3 linked regions of the Arabidopsis thaliana genome follow. The protein of the gene in region 3 interacts with the protein of the main gene of each other region in a pairwise test. Each region holds a gene or a part of one and is shown on either strand. Other genes may lie near its edges.

Region 1 (10,045 bases), on a different chromosome or scaffold from region 3:
TGGATCAATTTTTTTGGTCGAATAACAAATGTAACAATAAGAAATTGCAAATTCTAGGGAACATTTGGTTAACTAAATACGAAATTTGACCTAGCTAGCTTGAATGTGTCTGTGTATATCATCTATATAGGTAAAATGCTTGGTATGATACCTATTGATTGTGAATAGGTACGCAACGGGAGAGCACCCACAGGGATCAGACAAGTTGGACAGTGCAAGGATGAAGTTGGGAAGCAAAGCTCAGGATCTGAAAGACAGAGCTCAGTACTACGGACAGCAACATACTGGTGGGGAACATGACCGTGACCGTACTCGTGGTGGCCAGCACACTACTTAAGTTACCCCACTGATGTCATCGTCATAGTCCAATAACTCCAATGTCGGGGAGTTAGTTTATGAGGAATAAAGTGTTTAGAATTTGATCAGGGGGAGATAATAAAAGCCGAGTTTGAATCTTTTTGTTATAAGTAATGTTTATGTGTGTTTCTATATGTTGTCAAATGGTACCATGTTTTTTTTCCTCTCTTTTTGTAACTTGCAAGTGTTGTGTTGTACTTTATTTGGCTTCTTTGTAAGTTGGTAACGGTGGTCTATATATGGAAAAGGTCTTGTTTTGTTAAACTTATGTTAGTTAACTGGATTCGTCTTTAACCACAAAAAGTTTTCAATAAGCTACAAATTTAGACACGCAAGCCGATGCAGTCATTAGTACATATATTTATTGCAAGTGATTACATGGCAACCCAAACTTCAAAAACAGTAGGTTGCTCCATTTAGTAACCTGAATTGCCTCCTGATTCTAGTTGATCCCCTTCAGGGGATATAATACATTGGATTTGGAAGTTTGAAGGATCTTTCTGACATTGCAGAACCCAACAAATCACTCCATTGGTCACCTGAATTGCCTCTGATCCTATACCCTTCTTTCACCATCTCCTCTCTCTTCTCTGACTTGTACATGGTCGCTGTTTTGTTCCGATCATCCAACGATCTATTAACATTAAGCAGCAAACCAAAGCGTCAATCATCCATTCAAACCCAAGATTACAATCCAAGATCAAACAACGTCATGTTACCACAACCATGGATCCAGATCAATAGTTGGTTAAAAACTGTATGAGCTACATTGTAATGGAGGTCCAAAAGTAGAGTATGCATACCTCAGAATAAGCTTGTCCCAGTTATGGAAACCGGCATTGCGCAGGTTTTCGACAGTGATAACCCGGTGGTTCTCTCTACGCCCTGTAAGCAAGATAACTTTGTACCCCAAATGTATAACCTTTTGGTAAAGCTTCAAGCTTGGTGCTATAGCAGGTGCTATCCCTTTCTCTACCCACATATCAAACTTTGAATGATCAAAAACTTCCAACCTGCAAATTCCCAAACAGAACAAACATTCACATTTATCATACATAGACAAACAAGCAAAGAAAAAGACAGACAACAACACATACCTCAAATCTTAACTAATTCGACATAGTAAAAAGACAAATCCATCTATACAATTATCAAGGAACCAACTTTTTATAGCAATGTTGTAAAATGAAAGATTTAAGATAAATTACCCACAACCGTGTTCCATGTAATAAGGAAGATTCGACAATAACGTCTCATCAATATCGAAAATCCAAATGTCTTTCCCGTCACCGTTAGATTCGAAGCTGCTCGCGTAAACCTTAGCTTCTTCGGAGACTCTCTCCACATCGACGACGTAACCTTCACCCATCAGGTAATCTTTCACGTAATCGGCGCATTCAGCTGGAATGGTTTTCCATGGAGCGAGATTGTTTGTCTCCGCCGCGAATCTCCAGCTCGTGCAATGTAGATTGACATTGTCGTTTATGTTCTTGAGCTGGGTTTCGAAGATCAATGGTCGCGCAATGAGATACGAGCTGGAGTTTTCATTGGAGAACGCCAGAGGAATCAAGGAGAAGAGAATGAGATTCACGAGAATCCGCATTGTATATCGCCGGAAACGCCGGGAGAAAAAAAGTTGAGATTTTTTCAATTGGGTCTTCAAGAGATTCAGGACATAAGCGAAATCCGAAGAAATATCAAAGAGAAGAGGAGATTTTCCATTCTCTAATGATGAGGAAGTGGATTATAAGAACCCTAGAAACAGTGAAACATTTCCTCTCAAGGTCCTTTTTTCAACGGAGAAATGAGGATTCTCGGAGAAAAGTTTCTGTTTCTTTTTGGGCAATGGAAAGGAAGAGAGACAAAAAAGACCAAAATACCAAAATGAAAAATAAAGGGCAATGGTTTTGTGTTCTTATTTGGAGGCAAATTAACGGATGGATCCGAATATTCGTTTACAAGATGATTAAGGTTTCGTTTCGGTTTATATTTTTGATTCAGCATGTGTGTAGTAGTAGTACAAAGCAAAACGTCTTGCCGTTTATATATCCACAAAAACGCTACACAGTTTGGCTTACTACTATCGTGTAGACCTCCATTCCATGATGGCTGTGTAAAGAGTATAATTGGGTAAAAGGTTCTTGCTATGCAACGGTGAATCCGTCATCGGCGATGTGTTGTGCTCCTTAAGCCACTCCTCTATCGCATGACGGTCGTATGTGTATCCGTCTGCTGCAACGCACGGCTCGTTCATCACGTCCTGCATTATACCACACAAGCTCACACATTTTCACCACAACACACTGAGATGAGATGTTTCAACATTGAACAAGGTTTTATATAGAGTTTACCTTAAGTAATGGGCAGATGAAATGAGTGGGAGGCTGTGTCGATACGCCGGAAAATGAGTTCCTTGCCTTTTCAGCTACTTTCTTTAGGTTTTCGAGCGCTGGAAGAATCTGATCTTTCAAATCAGGTCTATCTTTCCCGCGTAGCTCTGTACAACACAAAGCTAATGCGGCCAATTCCCGGGTTTCTTCAATCGGCCAGTTACCGGCTTTCTGATCTAAGATCTTAAGGAACTCATCATTACTATCCATTGCGCTCTCAACGAAATGTGTCAATGCAATAGCAGGTTTTGCTGTGAGAAGCTGAAGAAGAATCATTCCAAAGGAGTAGATATCTGATTTCGATGATATCCTTCCAGTGCGCTGATATTCCGGATCAATATAGCATAACGTTCCCACGGGGCTTGTTTGTTTGTATATAGTGAATTTAGTTGATAGAGGATCGACTTGAACCATCGTTGAGAGTCCCACGTCTCCAACTTTGCTGACAAAGTTGTGATCAAGTAAGATGTTTGCAGGTTTAAGATCACGGTGAATGATTGGTTTAGGCTTTGATTTGTGGAGGAAGACAAGAGCCGCTGCAACTTCCCAAGCAATCCTAAACCGCTCAAACCACGGGAGTGGCGGACTGTTGTTGACCTGGAAAAGTCTGTCCTCCAAGCTACCGTTTTCCATGTACTCATAAACTAAAGCACCTTGCTCCGGGCACGCTCCTAGAAGGAGAACCAAATGTGGATGCCTAATCTTGCTCAAGATTTCGAGCTGCAAATTAGAGAGGCCAGTGAGATAAATGTAGACTCTTATCCACAAGAATTGAAATTAAAATCAGAAAACTTCCATATAGTGAAAGGCACAAAATCTCAAACAAAGTTCCTTAAACCAAATTTGAGCTCACTTCCATACCTCTTGTTGGAATTGTTTGGAAAGTTGATTTTCAGCTGACTGCAAAACTTTGACAACTGCAGTTGTATGATGCAGATTACACTTGTAAACAGCTCCGTAAGCTCCCATTCCGATCTTCAGTTCTTCTGAGAATGATGAAGTGGCAGCCATAATTTCTTCCCAAGCAAAGTGCTGATATTGCAGCTGAGGAGACCCGAGAGTGCCCTCGAGCTTCTCTTTCTCTTTAGTATCACGTGCGGATTTCCTTTCGGCTTCTCTTCTCTGCGCAATTTCTCTCTCTGCTCTTTCTCTCATGCTCTCTGCATCTCTCCTTGCCTTCTCAAAATTCTGCTTTTCCTTTTCTGCTAACTCTCGAGCTTCATACTCCTTCAGCTTTAGCTCTTCAAGCTTTATGGCTTCTTCTAACCGACGTTGGTTAAGTTCACCAAGCTGAAACATTTTCAGAAAAGCATTGAGCACAATTTAATAAGTTTCATCAAATGCAAAGATATATGATATTATGAGGCCTTCACCTTTCGAGAAGCATCAAAGGTTTCGGTTTGAGCCACAGCATACATTTCTTGAACGTGTCTAAGCTCAGCTCTCAACTTCTCAACCTCAAAGTTTAGGTTTACCTGAACAAATAATCTTATATTATTCCGATTCACAAGACAATGTCGAAATTAAAACTCCATTTTATACCTGGTTGTCTGTATAGGATTGTTCACTTAGAGCATCAGACATGTTGGAAGCTTGTTGAGAAGCCCGAGAGTGTGTAGTATCGACACCCATGCCACTCCAACTAAACCTAGTACCAAAATTCCCGTATTCACGGTTGCTCGAAGAAGAACTCATAGCTTCTTTTCTCTCCTCATAATCTCTACGCCGAGGAGTCCAACGTGATGTAGTATCTGTGCTGCTTCTATTGATACTTGAAACATCTCTAGCTTCCTCTGCATCCAAAGACATGCACCTGGTTTCATCCGAGCCAACAGAACTCGTTTCCATTGGAACTGATGCCTGTCCTGCAATTGCAGGGAAATGTTGCATTCTCCTGACCGGAAGGGATAGAGGACGAGATTGAGAGTCATGCGCACTTGACATTACATCTGATGAATCTAGAAGAGAAAATGGGGTAACAGAATTAGATATACACACCATTTCTAGTAGAGTATTCACACAAATACATTGATGAGTCATGGACCTGAGGTGGGACCAGAAGAACCGCTTGAAGAATTTGTTCTCTCACTACCATCTTCTCTTATAGTAGCATTTCCGTCTGAGTCTGATGGTCGGACGCATGACAATTTACCTTTTGAAACAACATAGACTGTACAAAAGTTTGGCATCAAAGCTGATATCACCGAGCAAATATCAGCTTTCCTGGAATTTTCAAAACAGATTCATTGGTACACGGAATAGAAAGAACAAAGGTCGAAAGCTAGCAGCAGGGTGGTAGTGTACCTTGAGAAAAAACTACGGGATGAGCCTCCAATGACAATTCTGTCTATTGAATCCCGAGTCACTTCTTCAGCTATTGCGGCTGCCACATTATCTGATTCGATCACAAGAACTTCTACTGCAACCTTTCATTAAGGTAATTCAATGAGTTCATGTAACCTTGAAATTTTCATTAAAGAAGAGCGTAAGATATCTCATTATACCAAAGAAAATACCTTTCTCCGCACGAACAGTTTTGTGTAAGGTTTAAGCATTTCTTCAGACTGCCACAGTATTTCCTGTCTATATGCAGTTACTACATCATCTCGTACCTCGGAAATCGGGATTGCATTTCCCACTTGAGAAGGAGCAAGAAATGTACATCAGGCTTTTTATCAGTTACAATAAGTCTTGATTTTGTTTTACACAACAATACCAAATAGAAAAAAGGGAAACACAGGAAGAAGTCCTGAGTACAAGAAAGAAAGAAACAGAAATACAAGGCATAGTTGGAACTTTACTTGGTGTAGGTACAGAAGTAATCATTGGATGGATGTGAAGCAGCTTGAAGCCAACATTTCCTTCAGTAGCAAATTTTTCGATCGCCCATGTAACTACATATTTGCTTTTACTGCTCCCACTTAGAGCCACAACGACGGTACGAGATGGGGGAGGAGGAGGAGGAGGAGGAAGAGCAAGCTTGTCTGGTGATCTACTCATTGTTAATCTTTTGTGTTCTTGTTTCTATTGACCCTGCACACTACAACCATTTCAGACACTGCAAAACAATGTTCTAAAAAGAGTGTTTTGTTCCTAAAGTAGAGATAACATGAAAGAAAGGGAAAGCTAAAACTCTCCAGTCAGTGGGAATCAACAGACAGTAATTATATTTGAACTCACATAGCTGAATGTTGAATATCAACTCATCAAACCGAAAAGGCAAATAATAATAAGTATTGACAGAATCTAACGGAGGTATACCGATCATGAGATACTCTTAATAGCGTTGAAAGTCAAATGTCTCAGAGTCTAATTTGGACGACCAAAAGGATCGTAAAGCAACAACACTCAACGACCATCGAAGCTAACAAATAGCTAGCTTCTTATAAAGATAAAAAAAAAAACTCAAACTTTCCAATAAAAATGTCAACTTTGAGCACAATGCAATTGCAGAGAATTCGAAAGGTTATGAAACATTGATCAAGTCAATCAAAGGGACCATCTTCAGGGCATAGAGTTAAACAAGAAAACCAGAAATTGAACCTACCTGGTAAATAAAGGATGCGACTTTAGTCAAACCCAATACAAAAATTGAGAGAAGAAATGGTGGAAGCTTCCATTTCACAGAGCAATCAATTTCAGAAAATAAAGAGAGCAGCAGAAGAAGAAGATGAAGACCCACGTTGGTGCTGCTAATCTCAGATACAAACAATGGGTTCTTATAACCAGAGAATCTAAAAAAGATTTGAAAAGAAGCATCAAAAATAATAAGAAAATGAGACAAGTTGGTCATGTTAATGGTCAAAGGAGGATCAGTCCTGGGTATATACTCTTTTGTTCTCTCGCCTGAATTTTCTTCATTATCAGAGTGACAGAAGGAGAGTGTGTTCTAAAAGAAAGAAGTTTTCTCCAACCTTAGGCCTTGACTATTAGTTTAATCATAGTTTATCTCTTAATTCCCTAATTATTTGGTATTTAACTACATTCCTCAACGCCATTATTATATCGAGTTTGGCCATAGTTGCACGCATGATCTATGTCTTCCTCACGTCTTTTTGTCTCCTCCCCTTTATGCATAGTGGAGTGGTACAAGACTTTGGTAGAGTTCACCTACAACATTGGTTCGCATTTGAACCGTGATTTGGCCGGTTCAATTTAAACGCCGGTTTACGAGTTTTAACCTCTGGCTGATTAAGTAACCAATTTTGGCAAAATCCAAAGACGAAGGCAAAACTCTCTGGCTGATCAAGAGGATTCGATTAGGCTCTTTGACCTTGTCAACAAAGACCTTTTAGAATAAAAGCATTCAAAGTATCTATAGAAGCTAAAAACATTAAAAGTTACTTATGGAAAACGAATTGGCATGTCATTGTTCCTTGATGATTGATGATAAAAGGTGGAAAAAACTCGAATTTTAAACTTGTCTTGTCTCGACGCTAAAATCTTCATCCCCTGTAGTCATTCATCATGAAATATTCGATCAGGACACATTATTTTCAAATTTCAATTATCTAATATCTCTATAAACTTAAAATCTATTATTATTTTCTTATGTTGATTCTCCTTTTTTCCGTACGAAATGTCTTCCCACTTTCAAATTGGTTTTGGAGTTTTCATGCTCTTGAGTCTAGTATTCGTATTACTATTGTGTATTCTGAATGTAAACGACTAGTGTTCAGGTCAATATATCAATGATTATTTTCTCCATTCTCGTTTTGTTTGATGCAAAAACTAAAGAACAAATTCTGTCAAAAATATAAGAATATATATCAATATTGTGTTGCACTACATAATATTCTTTTTACTATGAATGGCCATCTTTTTTTAAGAAAAAAATGGACGAAAAAGGCAGAGTTTGTCCAATGAAAACTGGATAAATGACATTAGTAAATAGCAAATGACATATAATTTATTTATAACTTATTAATAGGAAATTTGCAAATGGGTATTTTCTTACAATTTGTTTCTTTTGTTGTGTGTGTGGTCAAGATCTTCTTTTAATACATGATCGAGTGTAGAAACTCTAATTATATGGCGATGATGAAATTTGATAGTGGAAGAACTTTTAAATATGATAATTTACAATGTTGAATTAGATACAAATATCTTAATTTATTAATGGCTGAAATGACTTGATTTATTAATTACATAAAGGTTTAAATGCAAAAGTAACCTTTGTGTACACATTTGTTTTGAATAGTTTACAAAGTTACTCTAAAATAATCTGCTTTGTAATATGAAAATATCATTTTTTGGTAAAGAATGATATTGAAAACATGTTTGCAAAACAACAGACTTACCTGTCAGATACATACACACATCAACTTAAACATAGTTTGACCACACTAAAAATGCCTATGTTCGTTGACATTCACGAACAAAAGAAAAACTATTTACCCATAAATTCCGTGAAATTTTTGTCTAACTATGATAAAAATCCATTATTTTGGATTAAAATTCAAATAAAATCCAATTGAAAACGCTACCGAAACTCAAAATGAAAAAGACCTACAAATATGTTTTGGTTTATATAAACCCATACATATGTTACACGGAAAAAAAGAAAACTACTATTACGTACTGGTTTTAGACTTTTAGGTTTTTAACCACATCCAAATTATCCAAATTGAATATGAAATTTTATGATTTGATCTATGTACACCTTTAGTTATAATAAAGCATAGTCTCTTTTTTTTTTATTATGTTTTTATTTCGTTTTTGGAAACTCATATGCTGACGTACCAAATAAATTTGGGATATATAATCCAGTATTGAAACAATTATTATTATAACAACAGTGGAGTAGTATTTTAATGCATTTAATGGAAAAAAAGAAAACAGAGTAAACGGATAAGCGTGTCGTGGAGAAGAAGGACCAAAGCAAAGTAAAGAAAGTCATATATTCCTGAAAATCTATAAAAGACATTTCGCATTTATCCACTTCCTCGATTCAATCAAAACTGCTTCAAGTAAAAAGCCTACGAAATAGCATCGGACCAAAAGACAAACTCACCGAGTAAACATACGCAACCTGTCGTGTAAGTAAAAACAATTTGATAGTGATCTCTCTATGTTTGGTGGAGGAAGAGGGCCTATGGGTGGCGGCGGAGGTATGTTACGCGCCGCCGGTCGTGCGATGACGAGGACCGGTGTAGCCAACGGTGGTATTCAAGATCCCTTTGCTTCTTCATCATCATCGTCCACGTCGTCTCCGGCTGGAAACGCCTCTGTTTCGCATGTCCAGAAACAGAGATCTTCTTCTTCTGGGTCGAATAATCTGACGTATTCCGCGGCTTCTGGGTTGTTGTTGAATCTTCCGGTGGCTGCAACCTCCGGATGGAGCGGCGGCGGTCCTTTTTCCTTTGTTAATTCTGGAGGTTATGATGATTTTGAGTGGGTTTCTGAGGAAGAAGATGATTCTCTGTTTGGCTCTGTTCCTTCTGTTGATGAAGTCCAAGATGCTGTTTCTGCTCTCCAGCAGTAATCTAATTTCTTCTCTTTTCTCATTTCACTTGAAAATGTGTGATTCTTTGGATGTGACTATTTGAGTTTGAGTCTTGTGGAAATTATTGTCATAAAATCTCATAAATTGATCACTTTTGAGTGGTAGGTATTAGTTCCCACGAGTTGTCTAAGTAATAGAGAGAGACACGAGAATTGTTATGGACTGCTATAGTGTCTCAAAGTTTAATTGTTTTCTTTCCTGATATGGATGGAATTGTCTTGATTTGATGATCTTGAAGAAGTTTGAAACTCTTTCAGCTGTGTCTCCGTGACCCCACTCAGTTGTTTTGTACTTAAAATACTTTCAAAAGTTGTTTGCTGGTTTATTCATAATAGTAATTGGTCTTTGTTATCTTATGGATTTCGAAATATTTGTGTTCTGTTTACGTGTTGGAGTAACGGTTTTGTTTTATTTTCTTGAAGGGTTTTCGATGCTAGTTCATATTCCCAGCTGGTTAGAGACAAATACGAGTGCTATCCGGAAAATGGTGGTGGAAACCAGAGCCCTATAGCCACAGGGATGGTTCATCAAGTTCCTTCATTCGGGTCGGATTCGGACTGGATGGAGCCATCAATGCATTTATGCCATTCAAGAACGTTAAAGCCTCATGCTTATGATCAGGTTTACAATGCTTTTGACCTACTACGAACCGAACCATCTGTCCAGGTGATACTTTCTTTTGTTTTCTTGATTACACTAAGCTCATGTTTACTTTTTGGTACATGAAGAAAGGGCTTTTTCACATTTTAATGCAGAAAATGGTAGTATCATTGTCGTCTGACAAAGCAGTTTG
Region 2 (6,830 bases), on a different chromosome or scaffold from region 3:
TCACCGTCACATTTCAACATAGATAAGGTTCCAATAAGTTTAATTATTTTGCATATTTACCTAAAATCTTCTGAGTTATGATAGACAAAATTAAAGAAAATAAATCTTCAAATCAGCTTATATTTTTTCTTCTTCTTCATATTGCAAAATAAACAACATACACACGAGTGTTTATGATTAAATCCACACAAATAAACAAGAACCAAACAAGAAAGAGTAATATATCTATTGTCTCAACTAATATACTTTGACATAATTGAGGTTTAAATTCTTCCATTAGTGGTGTTTTACAATTATTCTTGTGTCATGGTGTTTATTATTTCTTCCATATCACTATAAAGATAACTCCTTACAAAAGGGAAACGTTGCTAGTTAATGATAAAATTACCTATTAAAAAAAAACTTTTAAATCTATTCTCGGATCACCTAAGAGAGATAGAAACATGTATCATTGCACTAGTTGATTTGCTCTTTAATTTGGAAATTACTACATTTTTCGTTATTAACAACATAGAGCACTCAATAAAAAATCCTCAACATTAAGATTGTGAGAAAACATTGGAGATTTTAGTGGGCTGTGCAAACAAATTTGTAACCCTAACTAGACCAGCTATAATGAAATCTTTAGATATACTGATGTCAACAACTATCACAAAATAAAAATCTAGCCATGGGTGTTTTGTTCGAGTTCGGGTACCCGAAATATCGAATATTCTGATAAAACAATTGGTTAAATTTAAAAAAACTTTGCTTAAATTTTGATAAATATAACTAAGAATGTTCATATAATTTGGTTATTATTGGATATTTTAGTTATTTTGATCTAAAAAATAATTAATATTTTTGGATTTATAATTGTAATATTGGATCATTGGCTTACATCCAGTCTAAAAATAATTAATATTTTATATATATAATTATATAATGGTACCCATTCAGTTTGTGGTTTGGATTCGATTCTTCAGATATAGAAGTGTAGGATTCATTGCGATATTTCTTAGTGCTTGGTTTGGGGTTTAGTATATATATAATATAGAAATTATTGATCTTTTCAATCAAATTCTATTATATATAAGTATTAGTTCCTCGAATTAAGTATTTTAAATAAAATGTGGGTATCAATAGTAATTTTTAAAATCTAAAGTTTTAAACCGGTAATTGTATGCACTTATTAGATATATATTATTATTTATACCAATATATAAGATATTTTAATAACTAAATAATTATAATTTAAACATAAAAACAAACGAAATAAGTTACTGAACTTTCCTTTATAACAAAATAAAACGTTTAAATGAAATTAACTCTTTTATAACATATTTATCTACTGAGTCTATAAATATGACTAAATATTGTTTAAATAATCCACAGCAAAACAAAATAAAAACGAAATCCAAAACGATTCACAAAAACATTTCATATTTTTTTTTGTGATATTGGTTAATTTCTACCAAAAAATGAAGTGTCCTTCTATATTCTTAACTCTATTAATTTTTGTTTCTTCATGTAAGTCTAAATTATTTAATTAGGATAATGTGTCAGTATTATAATCATTACAAAAACTGTTTAAAAATTTGATATATCTTTTGAAAATTTGATAGGTACATCAATACTTATAAATGAATCTAGTGATGAACAGAGAATATATTCTTTCAGTCCAACAACAAGTCCTTTTGATCCACGCTCACTGAACCAAGAACTTAAAATTGGGAGAATTGGTTACTGTTTTGATTGCGCAAGAGCTTGTATGAGACGGGGTAAGTATATTCGTACATGTAGTTTTGAAAGAAAACTTTGTCGTTGCAGTATTAGTGATATTAAATAAGGCATTGTAACTTTGTTAAACATTAATAATAATAAAAAATATTGCTGTTTAATGTTCATCCATGTCCTTCTTTTTACAATAATGAACATGTATAATAATCTAACAGTTTTGTAGTGTGCATTAAACATGAAATTTATTGGGAAACATAAGTCCTTGACAAATAAAAAAATATTTTTGAAAAATTAAACTTATTCATTATAATCAAGGAAACTGTTAGTTTTTTTCTAAACATTTTACATTTAAACAAATTTATTTTGCTCATCTATACTGTAAATCTATTTTATTATATAAAATACGGGTTTGAAAGTTTTTTAAAGGGTCAAAGTTTTTAATCACCGTCACATCTCTAGATAAATAAGGTTCCAATATGTTTGATTATGTTACATATTTACCTAAACCTCTTCCGAGTTACGATAGAGAAAATGAAAGAAAACAAATCTTCAAATCAACTTAAATTTTTTCTTCTTCTTCATATTGCAAAATAAACAACTTACACACGAGTGTTTATGATTAAATCCACACAAATAAACAAGAACCAAACAAGAAAGAGTAATATATCTATTGTTTCTTTATTTTTGGAAACCATATTTCGCAAAGAAAAATATCAATATTCATAAATATATTCGTCCCTTCTTGATCACCAATAGTATCTACGTTTTGGTTCATCCCACAGATCAAGTGCAGCATTCCTCGCATCATTCTCAATACGTGCCTCTAGCTGCATAGCCGCCATCTCGTCTTGCGCCTTCATCAACGACTTTATCCTAGAAGCTGGAGAACTCGCTTCTCCTTCTTCGTCTTCATCTTCTTCTTCTTTCCCTTGGTCTTCATATGCCGCACATGAGTGTAGATGTGTTCCATAGTCACAATCCTTACAGTAATACATCCATAGATCTTCTGAAATAGTTTCATCACAAGCGCTGCAAGTGAAGTACGTGTCTTCACGTCCTTTACACGGTGTGCAATAAAGAAGAGTGAGTGGATGTTCATGATCTTCACGATCTACGGTTTCAGGGATAAACGCACATCCCACATGAAGACTGTAGTTGCAGTTTGAGCAATGGTAAGAAAATCCAGATCCGTATTGGTCACACGCGTCACACGTGTAGACAGACCGATCATCTGGTGGGGAATGAAGCAAGGTCAGAGGGTGGTCCTGGTGAGACTTGTTATTGGTCTCACTAGGAAGGTCGAAACATGACTTGTGTAAGAAGTAATCGCACTCTGACTTTATACATTTGAAAGCTTGCCCGGTCAGCTCTAGCTCGCAGCCAGAGCATGCGGTCTCATCCTCTTCTTTGGCTTTAAAGACACGCAGCGGATGGTTGTGACTTGGGTGCCTCACAGATTGGCGATTAACCGGTTTGGCCTTTGGTTTTCTTGAAGCCATTTAGTATGTTATTGATTTGTGTTTGGTTTTGGTTGTTTTGAGGGAGAAGGGTGTGGAACTTTATATACCAAAAACTGCAAGAGGACTTCATTATAATTGTAGGTTTAATGAGTATGCGTTTCGTTTTATTGATTATATTAATCAAGTTGTCATTGTATTATGCTATTTCGCTAATTATAAGGTTTGACATCTGTATAGGAGACTTTGACATTTGGGATTCAAAGTTTAGGAAATAAAAGTATTTAGACGCGCTTTGGTGTTTATTATTCTAAGATTAAGATAACTTGTAGAAATAAATATTCTAATTAACATCCGAGTTTTATAGCAACTAGGGCATATCCGCATAATATATATATGTGTGTGTGTAGAGAGGATAAGGTTTAATGAGGTCAACGTCTCTAAGTCTATGCTAATTATTATCTAATTTATCTTGTGCAACTTCCATTTGATAAGGTTAATTGGTTTAATATAGTTTTGAGTAATATATTGTCGGTTGTCTCCCCTCTTCTCACCAAAAAAAAAGGTTAATTGGTTAACCATAGTTTTAAGTCTTAAAACAAACGAAAACTTCTGTACAGATCAATTCCCTACCAAAAAAAAGAAAGCAACAAGAAAACAACATGCATAGATCAAATAATGTGAATATAAACATTCAAGTGGTGCTTCAAGTGATGATGTAGTGAGTATTCTATATAAACTACATGCAAGCATCATTATTTATTTATATTTTTCTTAAAACTGTATCCAGTTCAATCAAGGGAAATTAAGAAATGCTAATATATATGCAAGATCTAAATTTCAAATATGGTTGGAAATTTGATCATGTATTGGAATATTATTAAAAACTTTGACGGTTTAAAGATAGTGTCATCCCCGTTAGAAAAGTTTCAAATCTATGCAGTTTCAGGTATATATCTTTAAAAGTCGAAAAATTCTTTTTCTGATTTCGTTATACAAGAGTCTCCAAGTTTATCATCATTTATTACTAATTTAGATATTGAAGATGCTGCACAAAAAGTAAAAAAAATTGATTAATACTTAAGGGTTTTTGTCACTTAAATCTCTTAGTTAAGGGTTTTTTCATTAATAATATAGCTGAGGGCTTTAAAATGGATTTATCGATACTTGAGGGGTTTTTTTCGTTTAAATCTCAAAAACTTGTTTTTTTCTTTTTTTTTTGGTAAAACAATCTCAAAAACTTAATACCAAATCTTATTAATAATCAGGTTACAACTTAAAAGACTTTTGTTTATAAGACTTTGAAGAATAATTTGTTTCTATAGATAAAAACTGAAAGGTGTTTGTTCAAAAAAAAAAATGAAATAAGGTGATTTAAAGATTTTCTTATTAATAAATAATTTAAGCAATTTATAACTAAAAGATATACATATGTAGAAAGAGTTTGGATTGATTCGAGGCATATAAGAATTTAATTGATTTGGTCATCTTTAAGATCATAAGTATTAATAAGGAATCCAAAAGTGATTTAAGATTTTGTTAGAAAAGCAAGATAGGCATCATGAGTTAGTATATATATAATATAGAACTTTTTGATATTTTTAATCAAATTATATTATATATTTATTAGTTCCTCGAATTAAATATTTTAAATAAAATGTGGGCATCAATAGTAATTTTTGAAATCTAAAGTTTTAAACATGTAATTGTTTGCACTTATTAGATGTATATTACTATTTATACCAATATATAACAGATTTTAATAACTAAAAAATTATAATTTTAAAACAAAAACAAACGTAATATGTTACTAAATTTTACTTTATAACAAAATAAAACGTTTAACTGAAAATTAACTCTTTATATAACATATTTATCTACAGAGTCTATAAATATGACTAAATATTGCTTTAATACTCCAGAGCAAAACAAAAGAAAAACGATTCACAATAATATTTAATATATTTTCTTTGTGATATTGGTTAATTTCTACCAAGAAATGAAGTTGCCTATTATATTCTTAACTCTATTAATTTTTGTTTCTTCATGTAAGTTTAAATTATTTAATTAGGATAATGTGTCAGTATTATAATCATTACAAAAACTGTTTAAGAATTTGATATATCTTTTGAAAATTTGATAGGTACATCAGTACTTATAAATGGATCTAGTGATGAAGAGAGAACATATTCTTTCAGTCCAAGAGCAAGTCCTTTTGATCCACGCTCACTGAACCAAGAACTTAAAATTGGGAGAATTGGTTACTGTTTTGATTGCGCAAGAGCTTGTATGAGACGGGGTAAGTATATTCGTACATGTAGTTTTGAAAGAAAACTTTGTCGTTACAGTATTAGTGATATTAAATAAGGTATTGTAATTTTGTTAAACATTAATAAAAAACAAATTATATTACTGCTTAATGTTCATCCATGCCCTTCTTTTTACAATAATGAACATGTATAATAATCTAAAAATTTTATAGTGTGCACTTAACATAAAATTTATCTGGAAACATAAGTCATTGAAAAATTAAAAAAATGTTGAAGATGACATAATTGGCGCGGATCCTCATTTGTAATGACCAGTTAGAGTAAAAGAATCCAAACCTAAAATACAAATCAATAATCAAATATTGGATGTTATACAAGCTATGGAGCAATTAAAGAAGGCAACACGAATAAAATATTTGGGTCGAATCCAGTCCTTTGGATTGAGAAAACTGAAGCGAATTAACCGAAAACTCAGAAATCTAAAAACATTAACTGAATTTCAACAAAAAAAAAAAAAGAAAAAGGTGTTGGTAGATTTTATTTTTATTTAAAAATAGCAGATATCCGAACCAAATAATTTTTTATCATAATTTCGGTAAGATTTTTGAAAAAGCAAAAAAATCGATTAACCAAATTCGCTTACCTAATTTTAAGGTTTGCAAAAGGAAATACTCTAAATATCCTGCAAAGAGGCAAAATTTTACACATAAATTTGGTAAATTAACGGCGAGATTTACAGTAATTTCGGCTCCAAAAAACACCCCGCCAATTTTATTACCAAACCCATTCACTTCAATTCGCGCCAAAACTAGAATCCCAAAAGACCAATTCCTATTTAAAACCCCTACGCCCCCCACTCTCATCCTCCATTTTCGCCTCTCTCTTCCCTCTCCTCCTTTCTTCCCAAATGGCCATTGTTGATGACGCAGAGATGCGGTTAACCGAATCCGAAGCTGTTTCGAGTTCCGATGATCGTAAGATCGTTGCAGATACTCCCGATTTTATAGACGAATCCTCTCTAGTCATCAGAACAACCACTGGAGTCCGAATCTCAGCTCTACCGGCGGAGCAAAGCCTTGTTGACTCCGATGGATCTAACTCGGAGGTTACGCTTCCGGCGAAAGACGAGGTAATTAGTGATGGTTTTACTTGTGTGAACAAAGAGATTGTAGAATCTGATTCATTTAGGGAGCAGAATCTAGAGATTGGAGAACCTGATTTAGATGTTGAGAATCGCAAAGAAGCGATGATTATTGATTCGATAGAAAATTCTGTGGTTGAAATTGTTTCAAGTGCTTCTGGTGATGATTGTAATGTTAAGGTAGAGGTAGTGGAACCTGAATTGCTTGTTGAGAATCTGGTGGTTGCTAAAGAAGAAGAAGAA
Region 3 (7,031 bases):
GAAAAGAAGGGTCTACCTTGGCGAGTCAAGAAGAAGAAACAGAGTCAGAGGAAGAAGAAGAGGATGACGATGATTTTGACGATTTTGACTATAGCATTCTGAGTGATGAGAGCAGTATCGGTTACTCGGAACAGCAACCTCTTGTTAACGGTACTCAAGTCTTGACAGACTGATGTTTAAAAGGAAAGTAAAAATAAGAAATTGTCGAGGTTGATTTATTTGAATTTTTGTCTGTTAGGTTTGATCTATTTGATAGTTTTTTTTTTTCATTTCTTCTTATCCCGGAGATAGTAAAATCAGTTTCTTATTAACTTAGCCAGACGTTTGGGATCTTGTAGTACACCGTTGAACGTTAGGAACGTGACGTTTTTTGTTTTTTCTATCAATCGTCGTCAGAGAAGGTAGTCTTGACACCGCAAAATACGCCTAAATGTTTCTCTTGTTTCTTCTGTTTGGGCTCCAAAACATCAACTTCTATCAAAAGGCTTTCTCGTTCGTACCTGGAATATCAAAAACCCTTGTCATCTCTCCGTGTATACCAAAAACTTCACACCATGTGTGCTCTTTGATGACAAAACTCTTAAGGCAAACTCTTACCAAAGCTACTCTGCAAGGTTGTACCTAATTCACAAAAATAATAGCATTAAACTTGTACAATGACATCAAAACTCTAAAGCAATAAGTTAGAGAACCAAATCTCCATAACATGGAAAATCAGTTTACTTGGGTCGGAGAGGGTATGGAGCTATCTCAGCTACGGAGAAGATGAAAACAGAGACGGTTTATTAGCCTGGAAGAGTTCGTTGAGAGCAGCAAAAGAAGTTATAAATATAAACCTTGAAGAGGAAGAGAGCGAGAGAAAAGAGGTGCTCCGAGTTGTATATGCTCGTTAAGGGTTTTCGCTCTTCTTTGTGGGCCTTAAAAGGCTAATAAGCTTCGGCCCAATTTTATTATTCTGTTTAAATCGTCCGTTGACTTGTTTTATTTTATACAACCAAAAACAATCTTCATACATATTGTTTACGGTTTAAGGATGGTGTTTGCAACGTCTCAGTACTCCGCTTCTGATCAGTTAGGTCATTAACAATAGTAACGGAAGATTAAGTAATACTAAAAGATTCTAACAAACAATTTACAAAAGAAAAGTCTCCTTAAAATTCTTAACTAAATTATTATACAATTTATGTCCAATGTAGGTAGACTTGTATTGCTATTTAAAACTCTTAATTTATTTATGTTTTGATTAATTTGATTATATATAACGAAAAATAAATTCAAAAAGATTCTAAAAAACAATTTATAAAAGAAAAGTCCCCGGCTAAACACTATTCATTTGACCCTTAAAAACTCGATTATAGTATCATACAATGTCTTTGATTTTAGTCTTGTAGCGCTATTTCTTATCCGGAGATGGTAAAATCAGTTTCTCATTAACTTAACGATTTGGAATTTGGTACACACCGTTGATTTGAATGTTTTGAATCTGACGTCTTCTTCTTTTTTTGTCAAAAAATGGAACTGATGTTTAAGTTCCAAAAACACAGCTACACATAGTTAAACATTGGTCCATGTGGCATTTCTATTATGGCATAGATGATATATAGATGTCCCACGTATCATTAGATATCGCACTTTTACCGCAGGTAGACTGTAGTACATTCAAAGCTGTAGTACAACATTTATTCCTCACCCTCCTTTTTTGTTTTCTTTTGCTCCGACGTATCACGTTTATTGGGTCGTTTACTTTCTTATATTCCTTGTTTCCTCAAAACGTGAGTGCCGACAAAAGAAAAGAAAATATCAAAATCAAAATGTGATGAGTTCGACTGAAATATCTCTTCAAGTGAGTAACTAGCTCAAAGTAAGACCGGTTCGCTCACACTTTTTTGTAGCAATCAAGATGGTATGTTTCACATTTTTTGGACCATTTTGGAATTTGCATGTTTGGACGATCACTCGGACCGTAATTTCCAACCGTCCTTGCCGTGAAATCTCACAACATGCGTCCAATATAGGTGGGAACCGCACCGACGATACGCATTAAATACTTACAAAATTTTCCTTCATTAATTATTTTTAAGCAACAAGCTTGAAATTTAGCATCACAAATGCGTCAAGAACAAACAAAAGAAAGATGCATTTTTTACAAAAATTCTTAAATAAAAAACTATTTAAAAAACAACCAAAAACAAAGAAGGCATAAGAACAAAAACGACATAAATATATGTTAAACCATTAGAAATCTAATTAGTTCTGAATCCATATTTTATCATTGGAGGACATATCATGTGTAATGTTCGTGCCCATAGTGACTAAAGTTGATCTAACGGTGTCAAAGGCACAAAGCGGCCTTAACGTCGAGCCTCCAAGCAAAACCACCACCGACGTCCATTCTCCACACGTCGCAAGGCACCGTGACTGAGCCTCTCTCACGATTTTGACACGTGTACTGGAGTTTCATTCTGCATGTGAATCCAGGGGACGTTAGCATCGGCCTCTCCCTCATCACCAACCGTACGATCACGTGAAAACTATCGCCGCTAGTTATCTCCGGTGCACCTTCTTCCACGGGAATAATATCCCTAGCCATCTTCCGATACGCGTCATTAGTCCACGTGACTCTCCCTGAACCGTCGGATATGAAACCAGGACACGTGTCTCTCACAAGATTCATCTTCCTTTCTTCATCTGACCTCCCTAAACCGTAACCGTCAATCCAAGCGTCCGTTACACGCTCCACCGTCATACACGACGAAATCACCACCGTCCTCTGCACAATCTCCGGTGTCTGATAAGCCGGTGTGAGCATCCCTCCGCCGTCTTTGAAACTCAACCATAACGGACCCTGCCGCTTCTGCTTCTCCACCGCCGCCTTAAGATCTATAGGTTTCTCCGGTAATAGAGAAAGAGTCACCGCATTAGCACTGCCGTGAACGACGGGTTTATCCGACGTCTTCCGCCGGGTGCACCTCTTGGCGTTACCACCATTCTCCTTCAGCTGATGACATTTCCTCTTTCTTCTACTAGCTGATCTAAAGGAAACGTCGGAGCTTCCGCCGCCGCTATCTCCGCTGGATACGGGATTTACTCCGCCGGGGCTGGCCGGTTTAGGAGCAATGGGACGAAATCGAAGCATGATGCGATCTGCTTTGGAAAGATCGTACGGTCCAGAGCCAATGGCGTACCTAGCTATGCAACACCCTCCCCTACCGTCCATTTTTTCTCGCTATCTATATCACTCTTGATATTTTTGTGTAAAGAATGTTTGAGAATTAGGTAAAAGCTTTACTTGAGCTGAGGAATACACTGAACAGAAATGGTAAGGGTTTTATAACGTCTGTGATCTGGACACGTGTTGGAGTCTATACTAGTTGTGACATGGACACGTGTCTTTGCCTGCACGCTTGTGGTTGTGTTGGGTCTAGAAGACAGTAGTAAAGGGTTTGGGTTGCACATGGAAAGTTATTCTCTCTTTTTGTTTTTTTGCCTAAGTTATTCTCCCAACTCTAACCATTAATTTTACCGTTCAGTAAAAAGAACTGTAACTTTATATATTAGTGTAGGAGAAAAAAAAGTTTGGTCTATGCTATGACAGGAGTGATAGTTCTTGTTGCAAGAAGAAAACATAGTTCTTGTTGAAGATTATGTATTTTGGGTCGAGTTTTTTTTTTGGTTAACTTCACATAAATCTATGCATATAATCTTTTTGATTATTTTTACCACTAACCCTCAACTCATTGCTTCGTTTTGGGGCAACGTCAAAAAAATGTTAGGCAAAAAGATAAAAAGGTATAATTTGGTTAAAATTAGTGACAACATCCCTATACAATTGTGAACGAACTAATAAGATTCTTGGACTTTCGTATATTTCCCAACCACACTCTTAAAACTAATCCATATACTATAAATTTAAGAATAACACAGTTTTTTTATTTAAGTTTTTTTTTTGTTATTTGCCAATCAAGTACTAATACAACCATATATAGAGTGGATCACTGGTCAGTAATTAGTTCCAAAATTTGCAAATTAATCTCCACTTACGAAGCGATTTACTGATGTAACAATAGTGAAGAGATGGCAAAATCAAGTTAAAATATCTGACAACAAAAATGGTTTTTATACGCACGAGTCACACGACTCAAAAGGTGATGAGTCGATCGATTATAATTATAATCATTGACCAAGTCTAAATTTAAAGCGAATGGCATCTTAATTAAATTTAAAGTGATTGTGACAAATTAGATCTGAAAGGGGACAAGATGATCTCATGCGTAAATGAACTTAAAGATTTGGTGACAAAAATAAAGATTAGTGCCAATGGAGTTAGGTAATCGTTATTGAAATATCAAGAAGGAATATTGATTAATCAAATATACTCCTATTGTACCTATCTATAGTAAATGATTATAACAAGTATAATCATCTATATCTGGTTTATAGGTGTTTCCTTAATTTAGCTATTAATATTAGAGGAATTCTTATGGACAAAACTTGGATACATTCATAATACATATATAAATTTTACTTGAGCTTCTGCTTCGAGATCTTCTTTTGAGGATAGACATATTCAAACAATAACGGATTTGACAAATAACAGTTATAGTTTGACCAGTAAATGAGTTTAATGGCTATTAGCGACTTGATATATATGTTTTACGAGTTCGAATCTAATTTTTGCAAATGGGAACAAAGAAAAAATTTAGGCCAGTGGACCTATGCCAAACAAAGAGTTTGATTGTGTAACTTTGTTTTCTCAAGAGATGGTAATTAGTTTCAATCTTCTATATGCGTCAGATACATATTACTGTCCAAACCATTTTAAATTTCTGATGAGCTAAAAACATTCTCAAAAAGACATTATTCAATCTGTTTGAAGTCTATTTTTTTGGGTAGAATAATAAACATCTCATAAGAGTTCAAACCAAAATCTTAGTCTCCAAAGATTTTTTGTTATCCGTCGGCTTAGTTTCTAGGATTATCTTGTTAATCGCCAGCTTTAGCTTTGTAAAACTCTATCTATAATCTATCTTTCAGTGAAAAAAACGAAAAAAAGGAGTTCAAACCAAAATCATATGCACCAACAGTTTAGTCTAAAATAATTTGGATGTTAAGTAATATTTAGATAATACGATTGACTGTATTATAGAATAACGGAATTGTATTAAATAAATTTTATGTAGAATGAAAAATAAAAAATCATTAAAAAAAATTAATTTCTATATGTCATAAAAAAGGTTCATTTAATCCCTTGGTTTATGAATGATAAAATGAGTGAATATAAACCAGTCAGAATTTATAGTTTTGGTTCGTAATATTTGTTGTCGTTTCATAACTTAGGTTCAAATCTGAGAGTGAGTTAATAAACAAAATTCCCAAATCTTAAACTTAGACTAGAGTTCTAACCAAACAAATCTTGTAAAAAACTATTTAATCTTAGATTTGGGATAGTAGTGTTCGAAGGTGCGAGGGAATCTAGAAAGTATTACGAGTGGTCCGTGTTGTGAACTTTGCATGAGAACACGCAAAAGGACACGTTAAGACAATTCATTAGCTTATGTTTATAATAATCTTTTTTTTTTTTTTTGCTAAGAATATGTTTATAATAATCATCACATAAACTATTAGTAGTTAACTTTATTTGTTTATTTAATCAAATGAAATTAACCAAAACCAGTTATACTAAGCATAAAGTACTCATCACTTTTTTATATGTTTTAAGTACAGCACATTTATCGCTGGAAGTGTTTTCACTCTAGAACCACAATCTTTTTTTCGACTAAGACATCAGTAGTCAAATATTCAAATCTAATTTGGTATAAGTCATTATAATTATGATTATGTTAGCATGTTTTCTTATAAATATCAGGTTTTAGAGTTGGTAACTCCGTCCACACTTTGGTTTTCCAATTTTTCTTGAAGTTTTTGAAATCTTGTTAGTTTGTGAACTACAAAACTCGGAAAAACAAAATTAAATATCATTAGGTTTAATATGGTTAGCTAGAATGATCTTAATTGTTTTTTTCAGTGGAGTTTTGGAATCAACATTTGGAATTGTAGTTCAAAAAGATTTTAATATCTTTAAAAAATAAAATAATAATATCATTTCGTACGGTTTAATATGTGGAATTAACATTTCATTCAAATATGAGTCGTGGACCATATATATTTGCATTCACGATCAATAGTTGCATTGCTTCTGCTTTGAGATAAACAGCATGGACTGATCAAGATGACTTCTTATTGGAAATGGTATGTGTTTTCAACATCACTAGATTTGTTTTTGGGTATCCAATGTTTTCTTTTTTCCGTTTACAACTATTTTTTCAGTCTAGTTTAGCAAAAAAAACTATTTTTCAGTTTTCATGTTTATAATAATTTAATTAGTAAATTGTTTGGATCATATAGTGTTAGACTTAGAAGTTTAATTTTTTCTTTGTACGTCTTGATTTTTTGGACTGATTAGCCATTTCAAATATATAATATAATTACTATGTTTGGGAAGAAAAAGAAAAAAAGTGATTCATTGATTGGTGGGCAAGGCTTGGTAGTTACTTGTATAAAATATAGTAACAAAAATGTTCACCCTCTTTTAATATGCCGTCTGGAACACGTGGCACGTCTCATATAGGTTGCCACAATACCTAGTACCTACCTACGCAATTTGAATATTTGGTATGTTCATAAGATAAGTTTCACAAATCTTATCAGTTCAATTAATAAAATATGATTCGATTCTTATAATTAATATTGAGTTGATCTTCCGATGAAGACAGTTGTTCTGAGGGCCATCTAATATTATATTCGCACTTCAAGATTAACTTCAAGATAGTTCTAAAATGTAAGGAAGCAATGTTATCTTTTATATGCGAGGAGGAAAGTTTTGAAAACCAAATTATACGGATCAAAGTTCTTATAAAACAGTAATTAATTAAATCTAAATTACACCAACAAAAGCTAATTATAACTCATTTATCTTTCTTGTTTCAGGAAAACGTAAATAAACTCCTAAATACTGAATAATAAACAATATT

Evidence for each region. Proteins that work in one complex are often made in the same cells at the same time.
Region 1: the proteins of AT3G48510 (region 3) and AT4G25160 interact in a two-hybrid assay, tested with the Arabidopsis thaliana proteins (one large-scale study listed by BioGRID).
Region 2: the proteins of AT3G48510 (region 3) and AT5G43520 interact in a two-hybrid assay, tested with the Arabidopsis thaliana proteins (one large-scale study listed by BioGRID).

Annotation. Positions count from the first base shown.
Region 1 is NC_003075.7:12,900,923-12,910,967, forward strand, and holds AT4G25160 (U-box domain-containing protein kinase family protein), read right to left. Parts: upstream 6,675-10,045; 5' UTR 6,295-6,674; intron 5,781-6,294; 5' UTR 5,748-5,780; coding exon 5,549-5,747; intron 5,386-5,548; coding exon 5,264-5,385; intron 5,174-5,263; coding exon 5,052-5,173; intron 4,971-5,051; coding exon 4,792-4,970; intron 4,706-4,791; coding exon 4,290-4,705; intron 4,223-4,289; coding exon 4,121-4,222; intron 4,038-4,120; coding exon 3,609-4,037; intron 3,468-3,608; coding exon 2,709-3,467; intron 2,618-2,708; coding exon 2,438-2,617; 3' UTR 2,258-2,437; downstream 1-2,257. Other genes in the region: OLEO1 (oleosin 1), read left to right, coding at 169-337; AT4G25150 (HAD superfamily, subfamily IIIB acid phosphatase), read right to left, coding at 814-991, 1,161-1,370, 1,566-1,960; AT4G25170 (Uncharacterized conserved protein (UCP012943)), read left to right, coding at 8,818-9,227, 9,491-9,535, 9,675-9,918, 10,008-10,045. UniProt on the Arabidopsis thaliana protein: Functions as an E3 ubiquitin ligase.
Region 2 is NC_003076.8:17,482,974-17,489,803, forward strand, and holds AT5G43520 (Cysteine/Histidine-rich C1 domain family protein), read right to left. Parts: upstream 3,337-6,830; 5' UTR 3,219-3,336; coding exon 2,466-3,218; 3' UTR 2,258-2,465; downstream 1-2,257. Other genes in the region: LURE1.4 (Putative membrane lipoprotein), read left to right, coding at 1,461-1,509, 1,605-1,828; LURE1.5 (Putative membrane lipoprotein), read left to right, coding at 5,176-5,224, 5,320-5,543; AT5G43530 (Helicase protein with RING/U-box domain-containing protein), read left to right, coding at 6,354-6,830.
Region 3 is NC_003074.8:17,965,236-17,972,266, forward strand, and holds AT3G48510 (AtIII18x5-like protein), read right to left. Parts: upstream 3,356-7,031; 5' UTR 3,218-3,355; coding exon 2,333-3,217; 3' UTR 2,119-2,332; downstream 1-2,118. Other genes in the region: PDE312 (Nucleic acid-binding, OB-fold-like protein), read left to right, coding at 1-173.